3 linked regions of the Oryzias latipes genome follow. The protein of the gene in region 2 binds, or shares a complex with, the protein of the main gene of each other region. Links are inferred from orthologs where the notes say so. Each region holds a gene or a part of one and is shown on either strand. Other genes may lie near its edges.

Evidence for each region. Proteins that work in one complex are often made in the same cells at the same time.
Region 1: the proteins of sart3 (region 2) and usp4 are in contact, whole or in part, in a crystal structure (PDB 5CTR), measured with the Homo sapiens proteins. The link is inferred for Oryzias latipes from reciprocal best matches to the Homo sapiens genes SART3 and USP4. Residues at the interface, in NP_055521.1 of Homo sapiens: Asp437, Ser438, Ser439, Lys440, Gln490, Arg493, Glu494, Trp496, Asp497, Met500, Thr501, Ala505, Trp511, Tyr514, Lys529, Arg533, Cys537; in NP_003354.2 of Homo sapiens: Met24, Thr27, Leu28, Ser53, Trp54, Glu123, Gly125, Leu126, Phe127, Val128, Lys129, His130, Cys131, Lys132.
Region 3: sart3 (region 2) and ccnt1 share a complex: the UniProt entries of both Homo sapiens proteins name them as parts of the 7SK snRNP complex. The link is inferred for Oryzias latipes from reciprocal best matches to the Homo sapiens genes SART3 and CCNT1.

What each region holds. Positions count from the first base shown.
Region 1 is NC_019863.2:3,078,615-3,082,845, reverse strand, and holds the end of usp4 (ubiquitin carboxyl-terminal hydrolase 4), read left to right. Parts: coding exon 1-128; intron 129-224; coding exon 225-295; intron 296-368; coding exon 369-484; intron 485-559; coding exon 560-709; intron 710-1,426; coding exon 1,427-1,530; intron 1,531-1,780; coding exon 1,781-1,869; intron 1,870-1,970; coding exon 1,971-2,093; 3' UTR 2,094-3,298; downstream 3,299-4,231.
Region 2 is NC_019867.2:12,882,813-12,886,190, forward strand, and holds part of sart3 (squamous cell carcinoma antigen recognized by T-cells 3), read right to left. Parts: coding exon 3,378-3,378; intron 3,194-3,377; coding exon 3,055-3,193; intron 2,189-3,054; coding exon 2,081-2,188; intron 2,013-2,080; coding exon 1,935-2,012; intron 1,841-1,934; coding exon 1,782-1,840; intron 1,529-1,781; coding exon 1,419-1,528; intron 1,341-1,418; coding exon 1,228-1,340; intron 1,046-1,227; coding exon 969-1,045; intron 880-968; coding exon 717-879; intron 637-716; coding exon 191-636; intron 1-190. UniProt on the Homo sapiens protein: U6 snRNP-binding protein that functions as a recycling factor of the splicing machinery. Promotes the initial reassembly of U4 and U6 snRNPs following their ejection from the spliceosome during its maturation.
Region 3 is NC_019865.2:25,919,742-25,923,324, reverse strand, and holds part of ccnt1 (cyclin-T1), read right to left. Parts: intron 3,189-3,583; coding exon 3,128-3,188; intron 2,554-3,127; coding exon 2,491-2,553; intron 2,363-2,490; coding exon 2,305-2,362; intron 2,203-2,304; coding exon 2,039-2,202; intron 1,916-2,038; coding exon 1,845-1,915; intron 1,416-1,844; coding exon 141-1,415; 3' UTR 1-140. UniProt on the Homo sapiens protein: Regulatory subunit of the cyclin-dependent kinase pair (CDK9/cyclin-T1) complex, also called positive transcription elongation factor B (P-TEFb), which facilitates the transition from abortive to productive elongation by phosphorylating the CTD (C-terminal domain) of the large subunit of RNA polymerase II (RNA Pol II).

The sequences.
Region 1 (4,231 bases), on a different chromosome or scaffold from region 2:
AACATCTGACTTGGAAAATGGCTCAAAGGGCCAGAAGACAAAGCTATTCACTTTCAGCGTAGTCAACTTTTACGGAACAGCCAACATCAGCTCGCTACCTTGTGAAGGAAATGTCCTCAAACTCAATCGTTAGTGTTGATGTTTCACGCTTCAAATGAAATGGGCAGTTCAGCTTTTTTTTAATGCGGTTTGTCAACAGCATCTCCTGTTTCTCGTCCATGCAGCTCATTCCACCATAGCCATCGACTGGGACACGGAGTCAAAGAAGCTGTTCTACGACGAGCAGGAAGCAGAGGTCAGGGCCTTGATAGCTTTCAAATAGCCACATGCAAACGGCCTATTTATAGCTGTGTACATGTTGTGTGTAGGCCTATGAAAAGCACGAGAGCATGCTGCAGCCCCAGAAAAAGAAAACCACCGTGGCTTTGAGGGATTGCATTGAGCTCTTCACCACCATGGAGACGCTGGGAGAACACGACCCCTGGTGAGAACTCTTCAGCATCAAAAAGTTCCAGATGTTTCTACTGCCTTCAGCAGCTAATCTGTTTTTTATACATAGGTATTGTCCAACGTGTAAGAAACACCAACAAGCCACAAAAAAGTTTGACCTGTGGTCTTTGCCTCGCATTCTGGTCGTTCATCTGAAGCGTTTCTCCTACAACCGATGCTGGAGGGACAAGCTGGACACGGTGGTGGACTTTCCTATTAGGTATGGTGGGATAACTCAAGACTCTCAGGTTGCATTCATACCAAACGCGATTTGGCGGTTCAACACTCAATTACCCCCCCCCCTGACCTCAGATTGCTTTGCTGTGGTACATGGCGCTCAGAAATCTGTCAGTGTTTAGGTAAGGCCTTTGATAATCTAGCAGAGATTGGTGGATTCTTAGAGGACTGTGTTAAAGTCGGAGCCCCGAGGAGTGATGCGTACTTTCCTTTCACTGTGGAAAAAAGTGATAGTTTAGTTTCCTTCTTACTATTACGTTCCTTTTTGAAATAAAAACTTATTTTCCTTTCTTCAACCAGAGGTGGTTCTGCAGCTGCAGGTTGCAGACCCCTCCACTAGAGGGAGCTATGTACAGTTCACCTGAACCAGAAATCTCTCACGGAAACGCATCTTTCCAGAACTGTGCTTCATTGTGGGGTTCTTGTGCAACACTTCAGAGAACAGATAACGCTGTAATCTGTTTGCTTCTATTATTTTATGGCCGTTTGAAAGAGCCTTTCACGCCGCTCCCCACCCCTCCCCCACCCCCCGCGTTTGCTCAACACAAAACATCCTCAGTTGTAAAAGAGGAACTTAACCACATGACCAGGAAACGAGATCAGAGTGACTCCAAACTCTGCTCAGTCCTACTCTTCCTCATTAAATCTACATGAGTTTTGGTTTCAGCCTAACTGTCTTTTTGTTTTCTTTCTTTTTCAGAGATCTAAACATGTCCGAGTTTGTTTGTGACCCAAAGGCGAGCCCCTACATCTATGACCTCATTGCTGTGTCCAACCACTATGGAGGAATGGGAGGAGGCCACTGTGAGTCCCTGCTTATACTCCAGCCTCCTTTAAATAGCTGAATGAAAAACACATGAGGCAGGTTAAACCCATGAAACAGCAAAGAAACGTTATCACAGAAACTAGCCGCCATGGTAGAAACCTGTAGCTGTCTTCACTTCTGAGGGACCGTTGTGTTTCCTCAGCGTCTGTTTCTTTATCTAGTTAAGATCTTCCTTTCTTCCATCGTAAATGAGTGACCTGAACCAAAGTCTAACCTTTGTGTGAACAGACACCGCCTACGCCAAGAATAAACTGGACGGAAAGTGGTATTATTTTGACGACAGCAGCGTCTCCTCGGCCACAGACGACCAGATTGTGGTGCGTTCCTCTTTAAATTGGTGTTTTGGGAGGGCAGGCCTTGGCCCTGCTGGTGTTGAATGTCCATGTTGAGTAACTGTATCCCTCCTGTCGGTCTGCAGACTAAAGCGGCCTACGTGCTCTTCTATCAGCGCAGAGACGAGGACGCTCCCTCCAAAAGTCCGCCTTCGGCGTCGTTGGGAGCATCTCCGGAGGCCGCCGACGACCGCATGGACACAAACTGAGAGGCTCAAAGGGAGACGGACACGCACGGGGCGAACGGACACGTGGACACGCACACCATGCTTCTGTAGTGACGGACGGCTCCACAGACTTTTTATTAACCCCACCCTCCGCTTGAATCTGTCTTGTGATTTTTGGCTAAAGCCAACAGCCTGGAAGGAGCGGACGGTCTGCTGATTTATAGTTTTACTAGTTCCAAACTAAGAGGAATGTAGATTCTCTCACTGGATGATCATATTGTTAAAGTGCCCTCATATGTATAGATAAAAGGTTTGTTTCCCACAAAAATATTCTGAGATACTTAGAGAAAAAAGCCAAATGCACATTGTTTGAACCAAAGCGTTCGGAGATATTTATGTGAAAAATAAAGCAGAAATCAGCCAGATGCTGGCGCTGTGCCTAGATTGTCCTTGCTACGTGAAATGCAATCCTTTTCTAAAGGGAGGTGTGCGCTCAAAAGGAAACGAGTGACTCCTGAGGCCGAACTGTGGTTCAGCGGGACGCCCGGGAGGGGAGGGGCTCAGACCGCTTCAGCAGGTGACCCGCAGGAGCTGTTTTTGATCAGAATGAGAGAAAAACTGCAGAAAACAAGCAGGCAGGCGCCTTCCTGTGTTTAAAGGTAAATATCAACCTGCTGTATGCAGACGCCACAGAACTGGACGCTGTGGCCCACAGCATCCAAGGATGTGACGTGGGACACCTTCAGATCTTTTAGCTTGGTTCTATGCACACATGGACTGCTGCTTAGTTCTGTACAATAATGTACAGAGAAGCCATGTTCAAAACACACTGGCTAAAACAAGATAAACCAGGATGAACCGATGCTTTGATGAAACCTCGACTCGCTCCTTGACACGAGCAACTATCTGCTCATCTGATCTGGACTAAACAAGATCTTGACAGGAACAAACATTTGCATGATTTACAAACCGTTTAACTTTTTGTTTTCCTCTGAATTGCATAGAAAAAACTAAATCCAATCAAATCATGTTCATTATTTATAATGAAGGCAGTTTCCAGTTAAAATGTCAACTTTTCTTTTGCGTCAGAATAAACTGATCTAGAAAAGCTTCGTCACATCTGCCGTGAGTTTTTTTTCCCGTTTTATTAAAATGATCCGAAAACAGTTGAAGTCATCCTCTGAACCCAGTTTGTTTTTTAATTGAGAAATATTTCAGTTAATGTTGCAATAAAGTCCTGAAGCCTCAACCAAGTTGGTTTGCTTGTGTACTTTAGAATTTGAAATGTGGCTGTGCCGTCAGCGCAGCACAGATTGCATATCAGCTCCTTACCAAAGAGGCCATTCTGTTCAAACACTGCCTCCATTGTTGGATCCTCTTTACCAGCAGGTGAAGCAACCAAAAAAACCACCCAGTCATGCTGACTTCACAGGCTGGATTAGTGTTGGCACCAACCCAGAGGAGACGAGCATGTGGTGGGAATGACTGGTTTACCTGCTGATGACTGTTATCCCGTCCCAGGACTCATTCAGGCAGCACAACATTTGGTCACAAACATTTATTGGTCCTCAAAAAAACACCACAACTGTGCTTTACATGCAGCCAATGCAGCTGAAAACGTTTGAACCTTTCCATGTCATCAGACGCCCTCCTCACTCGCTTTCAGAGGATGTCTTCATGTAGTAAAGGAACAAAGCAGCCATCGAATGCAGGGAAGCACAGGTGGAGTTGGAGGGAGGGAGGGAAGCACTGGACGGCTTGAAGATGTTACTTGGTTTGGCTGAGGAGCTTCTTGATGTCTCCTTCCACGTCGCTGGTGAGGAACCTCCTGCTGTACCGCTTGAACGGCGTCCCATCCGGCCCCACCAGGAACTTCTCAAAGTTCCAGGCCACGTCGTTTCTGCACACCGGGCTCCAGATGATGAACTTGGGGTCGGTCATCAGGGGTGCGGGGTCATCGCTGGGGGTGGGGAGCTGCTCCCTCAGAAAGGCAAACAAAGGGTGGGCATCCTTCCCGTTCACATCCACCTTCTCCAAGAGCTGGAACTTTGGCTCGAAGCCATTCCCGGGACGGACGTGCTTCAGGGACAGCAGGATTTCTTCATTCTTGCAGTTCTCCTGTGGGTCGATCATTAACAGTTTATGAATGTGCCGCCTTTCATCTGGTTTGTGAATGCGAG
Region 2 (3,378 bases):
AAAAGCTGAAAAAAATATATATATACCACGTTTAAAAAGAAATTATTAACGTTTTATCAACAAATCTTAAAAACACTTAATATTAAACAATATTAGAACAAGCTGAAAAAGTATAAGCATCTAAAATAGTTTCATTTACTACAAGGAAACTAATAGCTTGAAAAAACATCTGATGTGTGTTTTTACAAACCTTAAAGTCTGGATTTTTGTTTTTATCTACACACGGTGAAACAAACATGGGCCTCCCCTCCACCTCCCGTCTGTCCAGCTTCAAAGCTTCAGTAACGGATGCTGGAGATTCAAACTGTACGTAGCAGTATCCTCTGAAGACTCCTCTGTGGCCGAAGATGGGGCGAACCTGGGCGATGGAACCGCAGCTCTCAAACAGCGCTTTGAGCGTTGCCTCTGGCTCCTGCAGCGTGAATGCCAGGTTACTGATGAACACGCTGCAGCAGTCGTCTCGGAGCTCAGACTTGTCGTCGATCTGCTTCTCCGCAGCGTCCCCGTGTCCAGGCGGGACTTTCTTCAGGCCGGCTGAAGGTTTAGTTCTGGGAGCGTTCCTTCCAAAGAGCCCGGTCTCCGTCTCCATGTACTCGTCTGTAGTGCCGTCTACATTCCCTCTGCGCCTTTTAGGCCCTTACAACATCATGGAAAAGAGAAACTTTGTGACAACATTGTCAAAACATTAAGTTATTTTTCCTTAAAATAACCTTTACCCGAGTCTTTGTTCCATTCATCCTGATCCTCTTGTTCTGCTTTTCTCTTCTCACCAGCTCCCCTCTGATCCTTTTTCAGACCCTTCTTTTCTGCCTTGACCTTCCGACGCTGCTCAACTCGTTCCTCCTCTTGGCGAGCCTGGTTGGCTTCTTTCTCAGCAGCCTGATTTTTGGAGGTTATGATCCGGATATGCTAACATTAGCTCCATGCGATGCTACCATCCTGTCCAACACACATCAACACCTTCCTACCTTGGCTCGTTGCTCATTAATCCGGTTCATCCTGGACTCAGTTTTCTGCACCGCTGTGTCCCAGTCCTCCAATGAACCTGGATGGAACCTTTATATAATTAATAACTCAATCTCTAACAGCTATGAGATCTTTAGTTTATCTGTTAGATAGTTCATCTCATATACCACTAACTGTATTTAACTTAATAAAGCAACAGAGTTGATTATATAATGCTGACATGAGATTGGAGGTGTAAAATTGTGTTACCATGAGACTCACCTTCTACCCTTTCAAAGGTGAGCAGGACGTCACAGACGTGTTCCGGATAGTCGGTGGTGCACTGAACTGCTCTGTGGAGAGCTTTCCGGCAGTGAACAGAGTCCCCATAAGATCTATGGTTTTCAGAGAAAGCTTCTTGTCACTGCTGCAAAGTGTTTTTCTCTCTGGATTTGGGGGATTACCAAACAAACCTTTCAAGATTGTAGTATTCCAACCACATGTTGGCATATTTGGAGTTCCCCTTAGTCATGATGTTATCCCACAGCTCTCGGGCTTTTTGCATGTTCTTGCAGTGGAGGGCCTGGTGAGGAACAGAAAAAGAATTTAATGCCAAATTAAAATCCCAAAATTTGAAAGATACTGTTCAAATATTCCAATCAAAACTTCCTGCTTCATTTTTCAACAACCAAATTCTCAGCTTTCACTTAATTTATCTTAAATTGTTTTATAGAATTCTCTTGGTTAAGACTTGAGTCCTATTTTATTTTTACCACCAATATAATATAATTTAAGATTTCACACTTGAATCTGGTTTAAGCAGTAGCACCAGTTACCTCTATCCTTGCCCAAATCTGCATGACGACACAGGAAGGGTCTCCACTTTCCCCAAATCCTGAATTTACACCGAAATATAAGTTAGTGATGAAAAAAGCTAAATGAGAACTTCAACTGACAAAATAAAGTAAATAAACAATAGATTTACTTACTTTCTTCAACATCTTGTTTCATGTAGTCTAAGCATCTAGAGAAGGCCTCTCGTAACTCCTCCAATTCTTTGCTTGATTCTAAAGAAAGAGTTTAAATGATTCCAATTTCTTATTTTACCAAATGTGACGAACACAGCAGCTCTCACCTTTACTGAAATCCACGCGCCTCCTCAGGTAGTCCAGGTACACCTGCCAGATTTCCACATAGTCTGTTGCTTGAATGAAGCCTGCATTCAGTGCTTTCTCAAAAACATCTGAACAAAAGACAAAAGAAGAAAATGAAACTCAAACACACAAATAAACTAACTGTCCCCATTAACACACACGTGCTTCCTCAACTTTAATAACTCAGCATCTTTGTAAAGAATTAAACATTTACAGCTTTTTTTCTAATATGTATATAGAAATAATAGAAAAAAAATTACTATTTGTTAACTTTAGCAAGTAACCAAATATTCTTTTATTTTGACTAGGGCTGGGCTATAAGGCCTAAAAATAAAATCTCAGATTTGATTTGATTTCCGATTTTCGGCTACAGTTAGCTGTTTTTTTGGTCACCGCGGTTTTGTTCGCCTCAGAGAGACTGGCCTTTTTCATATTCCGCTGGATGTCTCTGTTCCAGGTGTTGGAATAGGATTGTGGTGCTGCTGCCTTTGACTGCGATGGGCTTTAGGCAAGTGTTGCAGCATGGGGGGGGGTCTCTTCCTCCACGTCTGTGGCAGCAAACCCATACCAGTTCCAAACAACAGATGATTTTATTCCTTTCTTGGGAACAAACTTCCCACTCTCACCGGTAGCCATGTTGCCGCTTGCTGTTTCGTGGTGCTATGATGTTGTTGTTTGTCGCTTGTCATACTGCCGTGTGAATTAACGCTACAGAAGCTCCGGGGAGCCAAAAATGCACCGTTGCAAAAAAACTCAATTTAGTTATTTTTTAAATCACCCGTAACAAAAAATTCGAATTAATTCATTCGATTTTTCTCCCTAAATGAAAATTTCAAGGAAAAAAACATTTTCTTTAACAACTTTTTTCTCCTCCACTGTTTAAAACCATTTTAATAAGGAATTAAAAGTTAGTCATCACACATGTGGTAAATGTCACAGGTAATCAAACTGGTACCTGACACAGTGTGATGGTCTGCTCCATGCCTCTCTAAAGCCAGCAGGTAGCTCTTCCACAGACTCATGGTCCAGGGGCAGTTCCTAACAGCCCGCTCATGAGTGGACAGAACCAAGTCTTTAACCTTCAGCTGGCGATCCTAAAAGATCAAAAATAAAAGACAAAAATCTAAGCAACACTTTTTTTTTAATTATGTTTTCATTTTTCTTTCTTAATTGGCCAATTTACTAAAATGCTAAATAAACAGAAACAGGCAGCTGAACTAAAACAAATACATAGCAAAAATTTCATTCTTTATAGACTGAACAATAATCAATACTCACA
Region 3 (3,583 bases), on a different chromosome or scaffold from region 2:
GGTACATTTCTCTGCTGTCCCCCTGAAGCCTGCGACGATGTTGGGTGAGTAGAAAAGTCCAAAAAGTAAAACAACATTTGAAACATTGTACAATACACTTTTTGTAACAAAGTGGACGTTTCTGACGGTGAGTATGTGGGCTATTTGGGTAATGGAGGAAGTGGGGGAGGGGGTTCTGAAGGTAGGGGTGGGGGTCTGGGGTTGTTCCCTCTGGACCCAGCGGGGAACCTATAGTCTCCGTACTGAGAGCGGTACTCGAACATGGACGGCTGTGCCGGCTGGACGCCCTGAGCGCTCAGTAGAGAGTTTAACATGTCAAAAGTGTCCTGGTACTCGTTGGACTGGACCCCGCCCGCTGCACTGTGGCCATTTGTGTCCGTCTTGTCACTTTTGGAGTGCGAGTACGCCCCTTGGTGGTGGGAAAGGCCCAAAGCAGGAAGCAGGTCGGGTCCATGACCCAAAGTTTGTCCAGAGGAAGCGGACAGGGACGGTAGTTGGTATGGATTCCTGGACGACTTGCTGACTTTGAGGGGCGGGTGGGAGCCGGCTGCAGGGTCTGGAAGGTGCGTCCTCTTCCGTGAGGCTGAGGATGACGAAGAACTTGTTCTAGAAGAGTCATTGGGAACTTTTTTACTGCTTCCTAAGCCCCCACTTGTACTAGAATGTTTGTGGGAGGACGAGAGTGAAGCGCTGCTGGAGGAATGGTGATAGTGGTGGTGGTTAGAGCGCTCCCTGTGCTTGTCCCTGCTCTTACCATCCTCCCCAGAGCCTGTCTTTAGTTTGTCAGGCACTCGTATTTTGACTTTAATGTCTGCATCCTGACCTCGGTCACTGCCACTTTGCGCACTGCTGCCGCTGCCGTGTCCGCCACCGCTGCCCCCTCCTGACCCAGGTACTGGATAACGCACTTTTAAAGAGCGGTCGTGTCTCTCTTTTTCCAGGGGGATTTTCAAAATAATGGGCGAGGGGTTAGACATGTCAGAAGAAAAGCTGGACTGCTGGTGGTGATGCTGCTGCTTCTCTTTCCTCTGCTGTTGGCCGATGAGAGCCTTCGCTGCATTGGCATATTCTCTCTTGACGCTGTCCTCCATGTTCTCAAGCTTCCGCTTCTGGGCGGCTAGTACATCTGCGTTCTTGGCCCGGTACTCACTCAGTGACACTTTGGCAGGAGCGTGGACCTCGTGGTTGGGCGGTAGTTCAGTTGCAGACGCACCTTTCCCGCTCCACGTCTGAGCGCTCCCAGGTGTGACCTTGTCGCCCGCAGATGAGGAAGAGGAGCCCGATGGAGCGGAGAGGCTCATGAGTCCTGCCACAGTACTTTCTGATGAGACCATGGAGATCATGCTGATCATGGCGTCTCTCTGTTCACCTTCCTCCTGGACCTTGGGCTTGACCTTTGGGGTCTGGCCTCCAGCCTGAGAAACAAGAAACATTATTAGGTCAGAAGTTCCATTCACACAAAAAGAGAGCGCTTGGCTTTCAGCAGGGGAGCCCAATCGGATCCATACGTCAGTGCACGTATGTGCATGTTTAACCACACAGAGTGCCAGATGTGTGATCGACCAGCCCCCTCTGCCTGCCATTGCATAGGCTCTGCTGGCACAGCCACGCGCCGGTTCCTAGGGTGAATGCCACTCCAGATTGCAGGAGCATTTGAAACCCACTCAGGCAGCAGTGCCGTCCAGAAGCATGTGCTTCTCGAGCCCCACCCATGAACCGGGCACCCGGCTGGGCTGCTGTGTGCACTCTGCCGTTGCTCGCCCACCACCCTGAAGAAAGCCCGAGCAGGTGGAGACCAAGAAACTGTGGGCTCCGCTAGCTTACAGGCAGAAACAAAGTCGTACCTTCCAGTTCCGAATCCGTTTAAGCCGACTAGGAGTTTTCTCCAAGATTTGCAGAAACTCATGCGTGAGTTCTGCAAAAGAGTTACAGGCTACAGTCACAAACTCTCCAAAGACGGATTTGCAGTTCTTTACACCATTTTTGCATTTACAAAAAAGAATAGTTAAAAAAAAAAACAACAGGATTTGTGAAGTACCGTCCAAAAGCTCCAAAGTAACCGTGGGATCAACGTATTCCCACCAGTGTTTGCCATCAGTGGAGACGGGGATCTCCCAGTTGGACCACTTGCATGCAAGATGTATGCACACGCAGGCCACGACGGGGGGGCAATACTGCAGGCAGAAGGTGGTCAAATGCAGACTGGGTGGCAGGACGCACGAAAAGAGAGAGAGAGAGGAAACAAATCAGCCCATTTCCACATCAAAATTCCCACCGTAAAGCCGATGTGAAAGGAGGGCATACCTGTTAGTTGCCATAAAGTAGGATGTTTGGGCCAGATCCTTGCTGGCTGCAATAAAACCAAAACAAAGAAACAAAAAAAGACCTTAAAGTCTGCAAATTAACAATTGGAGGTACAAGTTGTTGAATAGTGCCAAATAGACGGCATTTTTTTTCTTTATATACGCATATTGTGGACAAGGTGCTCACCTCTGACGAGCTGAGTGCACTTGACAACATGAGTGTGAGGATGATCAATGGTGATTTCAAAAGCTGCCACAAAAAGGGGGACAAGAAAAGAGAAAGACATCAGCTCACTGGTTGCCAAATTAAAACGTTCAGGTTTATTTGAACCATTTGGCTTCCACTGGATAGGTAACGTTACCAAAGACCCTAAGAAAAAAAACAAAAAATGTGTAATTATTCAAACAAAACGCCAAGTGGAGATCAACGTTTTATGAGAACTCTTCTCATGGGATCAAACCTTGGGCAAAATCAAAATATTAAAACCTAATCCACACAAAAAAGTAGAAGGAAAATTAAAAAATGGCCCATCATTTTCAGTTCCTCAAACATGTTCTGCTCCACGAAGTTGTGAAAAAGCATTCTTAAATTTATATAGAAAAAAAGGACGAAAATAAAGGACTGAAATGGTAAACGATAAAGAGAATGAAAGAAATGCGACTGAACAGTGGTGGAAATGCTTCTAACATGAGTTGAGTATGTGTTTTCCAGTGCTGATAACCACATTTGGAGTTTCTGGAAACAGAAAGCTGCAGAGGTCATCTCGGTCAGGATGATTCTCTGGAGGGAAAGGAAGGGTCCCAGGTTTGCCTCCCAAACTTACCCAAGGTCTGGAGTATTATGCTCTCAAGAATGACCAGGTCTTGGGCTTGTGTCAGGTAAGCCTGAGGTTGAGAGGACAGGCATGTTACTCTCCCAGACGCCTGCAAACTGTTGTCAAACAAGAGTGTCTGAGCAGCTCACTCTGTGGTCCTAGAAATGTTCGTCCATTCATGTAAAAGTCCACAAAGCGAGCGCAGACACTCCTGTTTTACAACCGATAGACATCACATCACCTGGGTGACTGAAACCTACACAATCAGACGCATTTTGACCCTTGCTCTCTCAACCCATAGGGAGCAGCGTCTCAAAAAAAAAAAACGTCAACAAGTCGGTCAAGTGGTTGTTTAAAGTTAACATGAAAAAGAAACCAAAGAGTTAAGAAACTCCCCCCGCCCCTCCTCTTATCACAGAACCATGGCAAACATTGTTCTTTCTAGAAAAGAAAAACTGGGATTAA